3 linked regions of the Drosophila melanogaster genome follow. The protein of the gene in region 2 interacts with the protein of the main gene of each other region in a pairwise test. Each region holds a gene or a part of one and is shown on either strand. Other genes may lie near its edges.

Region 1 (3,395 bases), on a different chromosome or scaffold from region 2:
GCCGTACAAATCGGCGCGACTGCTGCTATCGAATCCTTCGAACTCGTGCTTGTGCTCTTCCAGGAATTCGTGCATCTGGGCAATGGCGAACTCGTCCTCGGTCTTTTCGTCCACTGGGTTGGAACGATCGCCGTTCTTGCACTCCTGCTCCTTGTAATCCTCGATGAGAACCTTGTTCTTGGCATCTACCTTGGCTACCAGCTTCTTGCCATCGATTTCCATCTCGCTGAGCAGGCGAACGGCTCGCATTGCCGCAATAGGTCCGCTGAAAGAATGCCAAGGAAAGCGGTTAGGCAGAGTATTTATAGGAACAATTGGAGAGCCAAATGGGTGGACTGCCCGTTGGCTCTAAACATAAATGTATGCAAGCTCAACCCTGTGTTGTATTGCTTAAAGTTAGGTTACTTAAAAGTGCTCGAGTAGTTATTCGATCGCGCATATAGAATTTGAAGAGCTGTCGCAGTAGGGAGCATTCCTAGAAGTATTTCAATCTTTTTATAAATAAGCTAAGCTATTCTAGGAAACGCATCAAACAACGAGTGAGATGCGTTATGCTGCTGTTTATGCAATGGCTCTTCAATTACTTTTCTAGCGTTATTTAACTAACGAAACCTTCTTGTGCTGCCCTAAGCCTTCTAAAGTGATTTTGGGATGACCGATTTATGGTTGAACGTACTCAAATTCGCAGAAGCCGAATGTGGACACCCGTTTCCAATTGATTACCACGCCGCAAGCGTTCAGGATGCGTTTGAGCAGTGCCTCCGGGACGCGTTCGCTGATGTTGCCCACGAAGACGGTAATGATGGGTCCGCGGAACTGTGGTTGCGGCTCCGGCGGACGTTGGTATACTGTCGGCTGTGAACTAATGGTGGCCGAGTTACGGAAGCTCCTCGGCGGCTTGGCCATGTTCTGCATTATCTGAAAGCGGATGGAGTAGGTGGAAAAGGATTTGGCGTCAGATTCTGACAGCTTCATGGTGATTGTGACCCAGAAAAGGTGGACTTACGTGCGGCGGCGGTATGGCTGTATTCATGAAGGGCGGCATGGGCGCCCGCGGCGGGTACGACATCTTGTGCGCTGCGACTCCTTTGCGATGTCCTTTGAAAACACAACTTTAGCGAGCTTGCAAAATTAAAGCCGACAATTCACAAACACACTCACGCACGCACAGACGAGCGACACACACACACACAGGCACGCACGGATGGGCGCAAACGCCACACGGAGTGATAAATATGTGTGTGAATGTCCTGTTTCGTGCTTACGAAGCTGGACGCCCGCAAGGTTCACTGATCGAATCTCGGAAAGGTTGGCCTGTAACTTCTGGGTTCACGGCGCGTGATAAATCCACGCGTAAATTACCGAATAGAATATCTTTTTTCTGCAGCCGTTGCTCTAGAGATGGTAGCTGCTGGCAAGCTGCTATCGGCTGATGGCGTGTAAAAATCGATGGGGGTCGTACAGTTATCGATTGCCATTGCGGGGCATACAATCGATTTACAGCGGTAAGCGACTGAAGGAGTTGCCATCGATGTGCGTGCGCTCACCTCTAGTAACGTAACCGAAAAAGAACCAAATATTACTTGCAATAATACATAACAAAACAATGCGTGTGGGCCAGCTGCTCCGCTTCCGGAGCACCAGCTTGCGCAGCTCCACCGCCAGGCAGGAGTACGTGCCGCATCACAAGCCCGTCGTGGAGGACGACATCAAACGGCTGGAGGACTTTCTCCTGTCCAAACCGAATGTTTTGGTTCTCACGGGCGCTGGCATCTCGACGGAATCGGGTGAGTTTCATGATTTTCCGACTTTTCTATGTTCAGAAGCCATTAACACAAATATTTCAGATTGACTTCCAAAAGCTTGTACATTATTCATTTATTTATATAATGCTAATGCAAGTGACTTCTAGCTTATACTTGGATTCGCATTAGTATTTTATTTAAATCAACATTTCTGGCTGTCTAAAAACTTGAAATAAATTCCAGGGATTCCCGATTACCGTTCCGAAGGCGTGGGCCTCTACGCCCGCTCCAACCACAAGCCCGTCCAGCACATGGAGTTCGTCAAGTCGTCGGCGGTGCGCAAGCGGTACTGGGCCAGGAACTTTGTGGGCTGGCCCAAGTTTTCTGCCACACAGCCCAATGCCACGCATCACGCGCTGGCCAGATTCGAGCGGGAGGAGCGGGTCCAGGCGGTGGTCACCCAGAACGTGGACCGGCTGCACACGAAGGCGGGCAGCCGAAATGTTGTGGAGGTTCATGGCAGTGGCTATGTGGTCAAGTGCCTGTCATGCGAGTACCGGATCGATCGTCACGAGTTCCAGAGCATACTGGCGTCGCTAAATCCGGCCTTCAAAGATGCCCCCGACATGATCCGGCCCGATGGCGATGTAGAGATACCGCTGGAGTACATCGAGAACTTCCGGATACCCGAGTGTACGCAGTGCGGCGGCGACTTGAAGCCGGAAATTGTCTTCTTCGGAGATTCTGTGCCTCGGCCACGAGTGGATCAGATTGCCGGCATGGTGTACAATAGCGATGGCCTGCTTGTCCTCGGGTCCAGTCTCCTGGTCTTCTCCGGCTACCGCGTTGTCCTGCAGACCAAGGACCTCAAGCTACCGGTGGGCATTGTTAATATTGGCGAAACGCGCGCCGATCACCTGGCGGATATCAAGATATCCGCCAAGTGCGGCGATGTCATACCCAAACTGTTCGACTTTCGCAATTCGAAAAGCGTCAGTTAATACTCACAGTTGTTATATGTTGACCCCCACTAAATTTGTAGTTATGGAAAGCCAGGCTTTCTATTTTAGCTAAAAAATAAATGTTAATGATTACTATTTGCAAATGGAATGTAGCGTTGCAACGGAGCTCCTGATTTATGGCTGTGCCTTTGGATCATTTTCGCGCAGGCTCCTCTGGAGCGAAACACAATGACACGCTTTCCGGGAAAAGGATTCGCTCATCCCCCAAGCACATGGGTTCCGAGTCCATGTCCTCTCTGTCTCTCTCAGTGTCCTGTGCTCTGAAATTCCAGCACATCCCAACAGGAAGCGGAAGCAGGAGCGCCGGGGAGAGCTGCGCACTTCCGCTCGCTCCCGTTGAATGTTTTTGTTTTTGCTCCAGGCCGCTGCTCTCAGTGCTCCATATAAATGAACCGCAATTGAGGCATCGGCATCTCCCGCTCGCACACACAAACACACATCGCACACACACATACACGGCCAGTGACACTTTTCACACGCGGTTCATTACCCCCCCTCCTACGACAATCGTCCATTCCTGCTAGAAAAACAATGCGTAGACCTCGCACAATGGGCAAAATCGAAGGACTGCTAAGAATAATAATAATAATAATATAATTATATTAAGTAGTGGTCATGGTTAGCATAT
Region 2 (4,827 bases):
TGTAAATTATAAAAGCTCTTGAATAAAAACGCAAAACTGAAAATGAAAACTTCTTGTTGGGTTCTCTTTGGGTTGTCAGGGAAAACAAACCCCCAAATGATTGCTTTATAATTGCGGCGAGGTGGTCATATATCATCTATACGGGGGTTGTAAGACTGGTAACCAATAATGATGAGTGCTCTTGGGTGATTCCTTATAATCATGCCCAAATAACGGCGAACTGCAGTAATGAAATGCCATTAAGGGCCATTGACATGGTCCATCGATCTGGGACCGACTAAAACAAATACCAAAACACACTAACTGCCAAGGCGGAAAAGCGGAAGTGGACCATTGAATCGGACAGATGCATTTGGGCACTGGGCTAAGGACGAGGAAACTTGATGACGATGGGGTGGAATCCCAGGGTGTTTTCAACTCAGTCTCTGGTCGGTCCATAGTGAAACTCTAAACGGGCCAAACTAATGATGCTCTCAACGGAAACGCGTAAAAAATGTTTAATCAAATACAAATGCATGACAGCACGGAAAAAAGGCGAACAGGATATGCCAGGATATGCTAGGATAGTACGGGATGCGAGGGTGCAGCTGAATAAAACTAAAGGATGCGGGGGTGGCAGTTGCGTGCGCGGTGTGAATCAATTTAAAGCGTCAAAAGATGTGGATGTCCTTCCCCTCGCACAGCGAAAATTGTGTAAAATCATGCCGCAAAAACAACCCCGTCGATGTTTTCAAGGGGGCGATGCAGCAGCCGTAAGTCACCAACATCTGTGTCTGAAGGCCTGAAGCAAACAAAAAACATAAAATACTAATAAAATGATCTCGAAACCGATACGTTTTGCAGTTTGCACCTTGGCACGGGACATTCCTGTACTGTGGTACCCGCATTAGATGGTTCGATGTCCAACAAGTTTCCATTTCTGCGGGTCAAAGGCAGCTGCTCGAAGGATCTTACTTCCTTTCAGGTCCTCGGGACTCTTATCCTGCTGCTCTGCTAATTTGCACCTTGAGAGGCATGTTGGCTTGGAAATCCGTTCGAGACTACCTTATGCAGGTCCTTTGTTCGCCCAAGTGGCCATGTGTTCTAATGGCACTCCTCCAAGGAGTTGACAGATTGATGAGCGCGATTGGCAGATTTGAAGTGCCGACCACTCGAGTAATCCATTTGATTACCATCATCATTGGCAGGCCACTTAGAATTGCCCGCCCAAGGGGTTTTTCAATATGCAAATTGTTATTATGTATGTTGCTGCTACAGTTGCTGGAGATCCTGCACATGATATGAAAGGATATCTTTGTACTAACATGCTGGGTAATTATTCGCGATCTTTGTAATCCATTTGATCATGGCACTTAAAATCCTAAAAAAATTAATTCACAATGCAGCAAAAATCCCTTTGAAGCAATGCTACATAGTTAGCCCACGGATTTTCAATTCGAATAACTTATCTGTAATATCTTCCGGAACTTCTCCTTTTACATAAATACAAATAATACGTTGAAAGGCTCTTATACGTTTTAAACATATGAAGCTGCTTATAAGGCCCGAAAGCTTCCAAAGCTCCAACTGATTGCGAAAGCGCTCCCGTGCAACACTGCCAAGTCGCAGGTCCTGGCAGCCATCGAAATGCAACGCGGCGTTAAGTTGGCAGCTTCGACTGTCTAAGGAAATAACGGTTATCGGGAAATTTTCTCCGGCAGAGAGACGCCTACACAGAGGAGTACGTGGAGTGCCGAGTTCGAGTCTCAGCCGGAATCGCACACCTGACATTCATGTTGTGGCCATTCTGGCAGTCAGACGTGTGGATCGCAAGTCCGGAAAGCCAAGAGCCGTAGCCCCAAGTGCAAAGTGGAGGAAAGGTCTCAAGCAGATTCGCTGTCCGTGAACGGTTTACGGTTGCGGTTTACTACGACGTGTCGCGTCTCAGATTTTCATCCGGTAAATAGTGACTTGAAATAGTTACTTGCGAGTCGAGATGAGGTGTTAGTTTCTTTGAAAATTGGAAAAGCACAGAGAAAACTGTTCGTTCAAAGTCGCAGCATGTGCTAGGGGGTGGTGACTTGGTGGGTGGTTCCGGATGGGGATGTCCTGTGAAAGAGAGCAGCTCGACTTATTGATTGAGCTTTCCGCGCTCGCTCTCTGTGCCAAAATACGGGTACTTTTGCTTGGGGAGCGCGGAAAAGCTTTTGTCCGTTTTCCCGCTGCCACTGCTGCTTGCCTTGGGTGAATTTTTCAGCAATTTTCATTTTCAGTTTTTCTCCCGACTGTTTTAGGGCGGTTCCGCAAGTAGCAGCGAATCCTGCGATTTAAGCACACTCAACTCGAACGCGTATGAAAATTCCGTTTACCCCAAGGAAATTAAAACACAGGCTTAGCCAAAATTAAATGAATTTAACAAACATTTGCCGCAAAGAACTGGGAAAATAATGTGGAAAATGTGGAAAGTCGAAAGGCACGCAGGATAATATATGAAAATATTATGACAAAATGTGTTGTTATTGTTTGAGTGTGTGGCCTGCTTTTAAACGCGTGCGTGTGCTTGTGTGTCTGCGTGGCTCCTTTGTGTTTGTAAAATTCAATAAATTGCAAAGGATTGCAATTGCCAAAATGGCAAATTACAACAAAATGCGCACATACACATGGAAATTTGTCAGAACAGAAATTTGGGCAGTGTGTGCGCGTAGTTTTGATTTTCTCTGCGGGCTCTGTGGCTTACTCTCCGTCTGTATATGTGTGTGTGTGTGTGGCTCTCAGAGTGCTGTGTGTGTGTGCGTGTGTATGTGTGTGGTTGTATCTGTGTGAATGTCCTTCGCTGCTTACGTACGCAGACTGAGTGACTCGATTGAGGCGGCTGCCTGAATGGCTGGCAGGTCCTGTGCTCCTTTTTCCTTTGTGAAATGAATGCGTATTCAATGAGCAATGAAATCCGTGACACATTCGCGCCTTCGCTCTCTATCTCTCTCTTCCCCGTTTTCCCCCATTTTCCGCAGCACTCTCCGTGCATTTTCCATTTAATTTATTTTTTATTGCTCCGGCCCGCCTTTGTTCTTCGCCCAATATCCGTTTTAAATAAAAGCGACATTAACACCATAACCTTCTGACATTTATCTGTCTCTCGGTCTTAAATGCTCACCCAGACATGGTCGCAAATGCCGCAGAGCAGAGAGAAGCTTGCCACATGTGCGTCCTTTTGTCCCTTGAGCTGCCTTGAACATTCCTTTGGCCCATTCGCTTGCGAATTCCCGCATAAGTTAACCAATTAATTGGCTGGAAAAGTGTTAGAAAATACTACACTTTTCTCTTGACTGAGTCGCAATAATATTAATAAATTCCTCAACAATATCTATGCCAACTGCAGTTCGATCTAAACCAAACTAAACTAAGCTCAACTAATCCAAAACTAAACCAAGCCAAAGACCAAACAAAATAGAGAAAAACTTGTTGAAGTACTTGATTGATGTGTGTGCCCAATTGGCTGCCGAATTGAGCGAGCTAAACCGAGAAGGAGTCTCCGCTGCCTGGAAAAAAGGTGAGTCAACCGACTGTCTGTTTATATTAAGATTGGGGAAAGCGGCGGGGAAAACTAGCTGCCATTTTCTGCTCTGAATCCAGTAACAAAATGGTTAGTTGCTCAACCGTCAAGAAGAAACTACTCACTGATTTCTTATAATTTTGATTTAGGTTTAAGATTTTTTAACCCTTTGCTTGTGCCATAAAGGATTTTTTTATATTATCCAATCGGTTCGATTTCTTTCTTAGCTATTTCCCAAGTCTACTTAACGATAGCTCAAGGCTGATTAAAATCGCTAAAATTACATTGTCATCCAGTTTATTTGCGTTTTTGAAGGCTTCTAATCACTTATTCAAAGTGTAAAGCAGCTGGATCAGAAGTTCTCCAAGTAAAATCACACATAGAGAAATAAATATAGACCTCATTTCAGCATCCCCCTGAAAGCCAAACACAAGAATTAATTACTCACTTTCCAGGACCATCACTCTGAGCCGAAAATCAACCCGAATTTGGGTCTCCGTTCGGTTTTCAATCAGCAATCAGCGAGAATAAAAAGTTGTGAAAAGTTCCCATCCCCTTCCCCGGTCGAAATGTCCATTTGCGGATTAGGCAGCCTGGCCAGCAACTGTATCCTTTATAAACAGCCGCTGGTCCTGCGAAAAGGGTTTTCCGAAGCATGTAGCATAATTTGAAGTGCACACACTTCCGACGGCCGAAAATATTGTTTGGTGTTTCACAAAAAAGTCTATTAATAAAAATAAGCAAAAATCACTGGGCGTCCGAAATTGACCCGCAGTAAGAAAAGCCAGCGAGCAATTTTCTTAGCCAGCCAGCAAACTTCAGCGAATCAACTTGGCCAAGAACATTTTTTTTTTTTGCCTGCCCCAGTGCGTTTACTTAAGCAATCAACTCAACCTCAAACACACACTCACTTCGTCCTGTTTATACGTATTTTTTTTCGTTATATTATAACAACTAAAGGAGGCCGCAAAGTTTGTGTGCACACAGAAAAATGCTGTGGCAAAATCGGGGAAAACCCTTTGCCATCGAAACGAATTTGGAGCAGAAATCGCAGTGCATTTGGGGGTATCTCCCTGACATCTTCGCAAGTGTGTGTGTGTGTGTGTCTGTGTGCGTTGCTGTTTGTTTGTGTGCGGCAGACAAATAAAACATTTGCGCGGAGGCAAAGTTTGTTTAGGTTTTCAATTCGTTCTTTGGGTTTGGAAAATGGAATCAGCATCGGAAACTGAATCTGGATCCAGCGAAACATTTACACGCGTGCATAACAAAGAACGTGCAAATTCTCACGTCAACAC
Region 3 (3,572 bases), about 18 Mb from region 2:
AGGACTTATAAAGGTCTTATAAATTATCGAGTGGAAGAACTCAGAGAAGAAAGGCGTCAAGTTTGGTGAAATCGACGGCAGGGAATATTAAATTATTGATTTAATATAAGGGTGGTAAATCAGACGTAGCATACATATTAAAACTGTTGGCTATCTGCCCTGAGAAAGCCAAAATCCTGCGCTCATTAATAAATCAGCCTGTTGCATTCGCACACATATAGTTGGGGCTACAAATATAGGTACAAGCATGTTAGTTACAAATGTTAGTATTTTATTTAATCTGGTTAACAACAGTGGTTAATATTTTTGCAGTCGGTCCCGTACTCGGTCACGTACTCCTGTCGCGGAGATGTCTGGATGTCTGCCAACGACAGTGGCGAGAGGTGCTCACAATTAATAATAAATATTGTCTTAAACGTTTGGCTTTGCAATAAAACGTATAAAATTCCTAAAAATTTTCACCTATTATTAAAAGTTATTAGCTATTATTGCAACCGCCACTACCCTTACATTGATTTACCCCCTGGTTAAAAGAAAGAATTAAGTTTCAGCTTAAAAGTTATCGTTTATTTAATAAAATTTACAAGGACTATTGTGCTGGGCGTTGCTGATGACGACACACGGGCCGTGCTGCACCTTCACGGAGCTCTCGCTGCGCCAGTCGCACTCGATGGGCACAAACTGACCCTTCCGCATCATGGTCTTGGGCTTGGTGATGCCGTAGCAGGCGTGCTGGAAGACGCTTCTCGAGATGGGCAGGCACTGCTCGTAGATCTCCACGATGTCCGCGTGCATGCTGTCCACGGAGAAGTCCTGGCCACAGCGCAGCTTCTGGTGGATGTGCAGTTTGCTGCGTCGCGAGAACTGGGTGCGACACCTCCGGCAGTGGAGGTCCTTTAGCGGCGAGCTGGTCTGATCCCTTTCGATGGAATTGACGGGGGTGGAGAGCTCGTGGAGCCGCTGGAATTGGCCCATGATATTGTTCAGGATGAGGAAGTTCTTGTTGGGCAGCTGCTGGAGGGTTTCGCTGATATGATAGGGCACCACATACAGCTCCTTGGTGGTCTTGCACTGCTGCAGTCCGTAGAGATTGACGCGCATGTTGGGCGGGAAGTAGCCGTTGCACTCGCGGAAGTGCTTCAGGTAGGCGGAGCGCAGACTGGCAAGCTCTGCCTCGCTGGTGGAGCAGCCGGTAGTGGCGGTCAGGCCCTCCTCCTCCTGAAGCTGCAGGGGTAGGGCGAAGACGGACGAGTCCGCTGACTGACCGTCCGCCTCCACCCTAATCCTCTTCACCTGTACTTTCAATCTGGTGATGCTGCACTCTGCCATGCCGTACTCGCTGCTGCAGTTGAGGTAGTTTTCAATCCTCTGCATAAGCATCTCGTAGACCACGCCCACGGATTCGTCTACGTCGTAGTGGTGGTCCGCCCTCAGCGAGCCGCTCTGAAAGATCAACACCTGGTCCATGGCGTTCACGTAGCAGGCCAGATTGAACTCCACGGCCACGGTGTTGTTCTGGAACATCCAGCGGAGAAGCTCGGGGATTCCCCTCGCACAGGTCTCGCCCATGAAGTGTTCCAGCTTGTCCTTGGAACTCTCGTCGCAGAAGAAGAAAGTCTCGATCTGGCGGGCCTCGATAATATCCATAACGGCCTGCTGTTGCTTGGTAAGATGCAAGCCCTGTGATGCTTCTCCTCCCCGCAGCCAATGCTGGGAGGGCGGCTCATCTGCGTCGATGGAGCTGTAGCAGGTGGCACATTCGTGTAACTGGCCCTGGGAAAACCACTGGTGGTGGAATGTCTGCGTGGTCTCCTCGTTGGTAAAAACGAAGCTGGAGATTATGGGCTCGTCGAACATGATTGAGATATGGAAACTTTGGATTCGAAAACTAAAGGTGGATATAGCTTTGTTGGACGATTTACCAATTTCAGGCACAAATAGATGATTACTCTTTCAGTTTGCTCCGGAAGCACTGAGATGTATCTATGGCAAGATTCAGTTGCTGAGTGATATCCTTATCTTCGTCCACCTGGCTTATATACAAACTAGTACTACAGGGTAACAGGTAGACTGTGAAGGTACATATATCCTTTGGTGTTACAAATCTACTTGTGGATTTTCCTTTTACCTAATCCGTCATATATTTTATGAGCATTCAAGTTGTGCTAATAATTGAGTACAACAGCAGCTGCGCGGTCATAAAGTTTTATTAGGTATAGGTGTATACGGTATAATCTGTTTTAAAAATGATAGAGCGGCTGGTATTAGATAAACGACGCCTACGAAGGGATTGGCAGTCTAATAGATCACCAATTACAAAGCACATGCTTAAGATACCCACACGCAGGCTTACCAATGCTCTCAAACAAGAGGAAAAAAACAGCCAACGTTCATATATCGAGCAACTCTCTCCCACCAGCACTAAGTACCCTCTTTGGAGAGCTCACAGAAACCTAAAGACTCCAATAGCGCCAATTATGCCACTACGAAGTCCCTCTGGCACCTGGTTTCGAAGTGATGAAGAAAGAGCCTGTGCTTTCGCTGACCATTTACAAAATGTATTCCGACCAAATCCCTCTACCAACACATTTATTCTCCCTCCTTTAATAGCAGCCAATCTAGATCCTCAAGAACCCTTTGAATTCCGACCATGTGAACTAGCAAAGGTTATCAAAGAGCAACTGAACCCAAGAAAATCGCCTGGCTACGACCTAATAACTCCAAGAATGCTCATTGAACTCCCAAAGTGTGCTATTCTTCACATCTGCCTGTTGTTCAACGCAATCGATAAGCTTGGATACTTCCCTCAAAAATGGAAAAAGTCGACCATAGTAATGATTCCAAAGCCAGGAAAAGATAAAACGCAGCCATCATCATATAGACCGATAAGCTTACTAACATGTCTTTCAAAGCTGTTTGAAAAAATGCTACTCCTTCGGATTAGCCCTCATCTTAGAATAAACAACACACTTCCAACACATCAATTTGGCTTTAGAGAAAAACATGGAACCATCGAACAGGTCAACCGAATCACGTCAGAAATTCGTACTGCTTTTGAACATCGAGAATACTGCACAGCCATTTTTCTAGACGTCGCGCAGGCATTTGACAGAGTGTGGCTCGATGGACTTTTGTTTAAAATAATCAAGCTGTTGCCCCAAAACACACATAAGCTACTGAAGTCATACCTATATAACAGAGTGTTTGCAATAAGATGCGATACAAGCACTTCACGCGATTGCGCAATCGAAGCTGGAGTGCCGCAAGGCAGTGTACTGGATCCAATCTTATACACCCTGTATACGGCGGATTTCCCCATAGACTACAATCTAACAACCTCCACGTTCGCTGATGATACCGCGATACTCAGTCGCTCCAAATGCCCAATAAAAGCCACGGCACTCCTATCCCGACACTTATCATCTGTAGAACGATGGCTTGCCGACTGGAGAATTTCAATAAATGTTCAAAAATGCAAGCAGGTTACCTTTACCTTAAACAAACAAACATGCCCACCACTGGTCTTGAATAACATATGCATTCCACAAGCCGACGAGGTAACATATCTGGGT

Evidence for each region.
Region 1: the proteins of Glut1 (region 2) and Sirt4 interact in a two-hybrid assay, tested with the Drosophila melanogaster proteins (one large-scale study listed by BioGRID).
Region 3: the proteins of Glut1 (region 2) and term interact in a two-hybrid assay, tested with the Drosophila melanogaster proteins (one large-scale study listed by BioGRID).

The regions. Positions count from the first base shown.
Region 1 is NC_004354.4:5,664,080-5,667,474, reverse strand, and holds Sirt4 (sirtuin 4), read left to right. Parts: upstream 1-1,534; 5' UTR 1,535-1,606; coding exon 1,607-1,787; intron 1,788-1,847; exon of another isoform or gene 1,848-1,988; coding exon 1,989-2,746; 3' UTR 2,747-2,847; downstream 2,848-3,395. Other genes in the region: CG4119 (uncharacterized protein), read right to left, coding at 1-265, 677-918, 1,007-1,069. UniProt on the Drosophila melanogaster protein: NAD-dependent protein deacylase. Catalyzes the NAD-dependent hydrolysis of acyl groups from lysine residues.
Region 2 is NT_037436.4:912,281-917,107, forward strand, and holds the start of Glut1 (glucose transporter 1), read left to right. Parts: upstream 1-1,793; 5' UTR 1,794-1,938; exon of another isoform or gene 1,939-2,329; intron 2,330-3,358; 5' UTR 3,359-3,529; intron 3,530-4,827. UniProt on the Drosophila melanogaster protein: Facilitative glucose transporter.
Region 3 is NT_037436.4:18,591,755-18,595,326, forward strand, and holds term (terminus), read right to left. Parts: upstream 2,018-3,572; 5' UTR 1,858-2,017; coding exon 571-1,857; 3' UTR 549-570; downstream 1-548.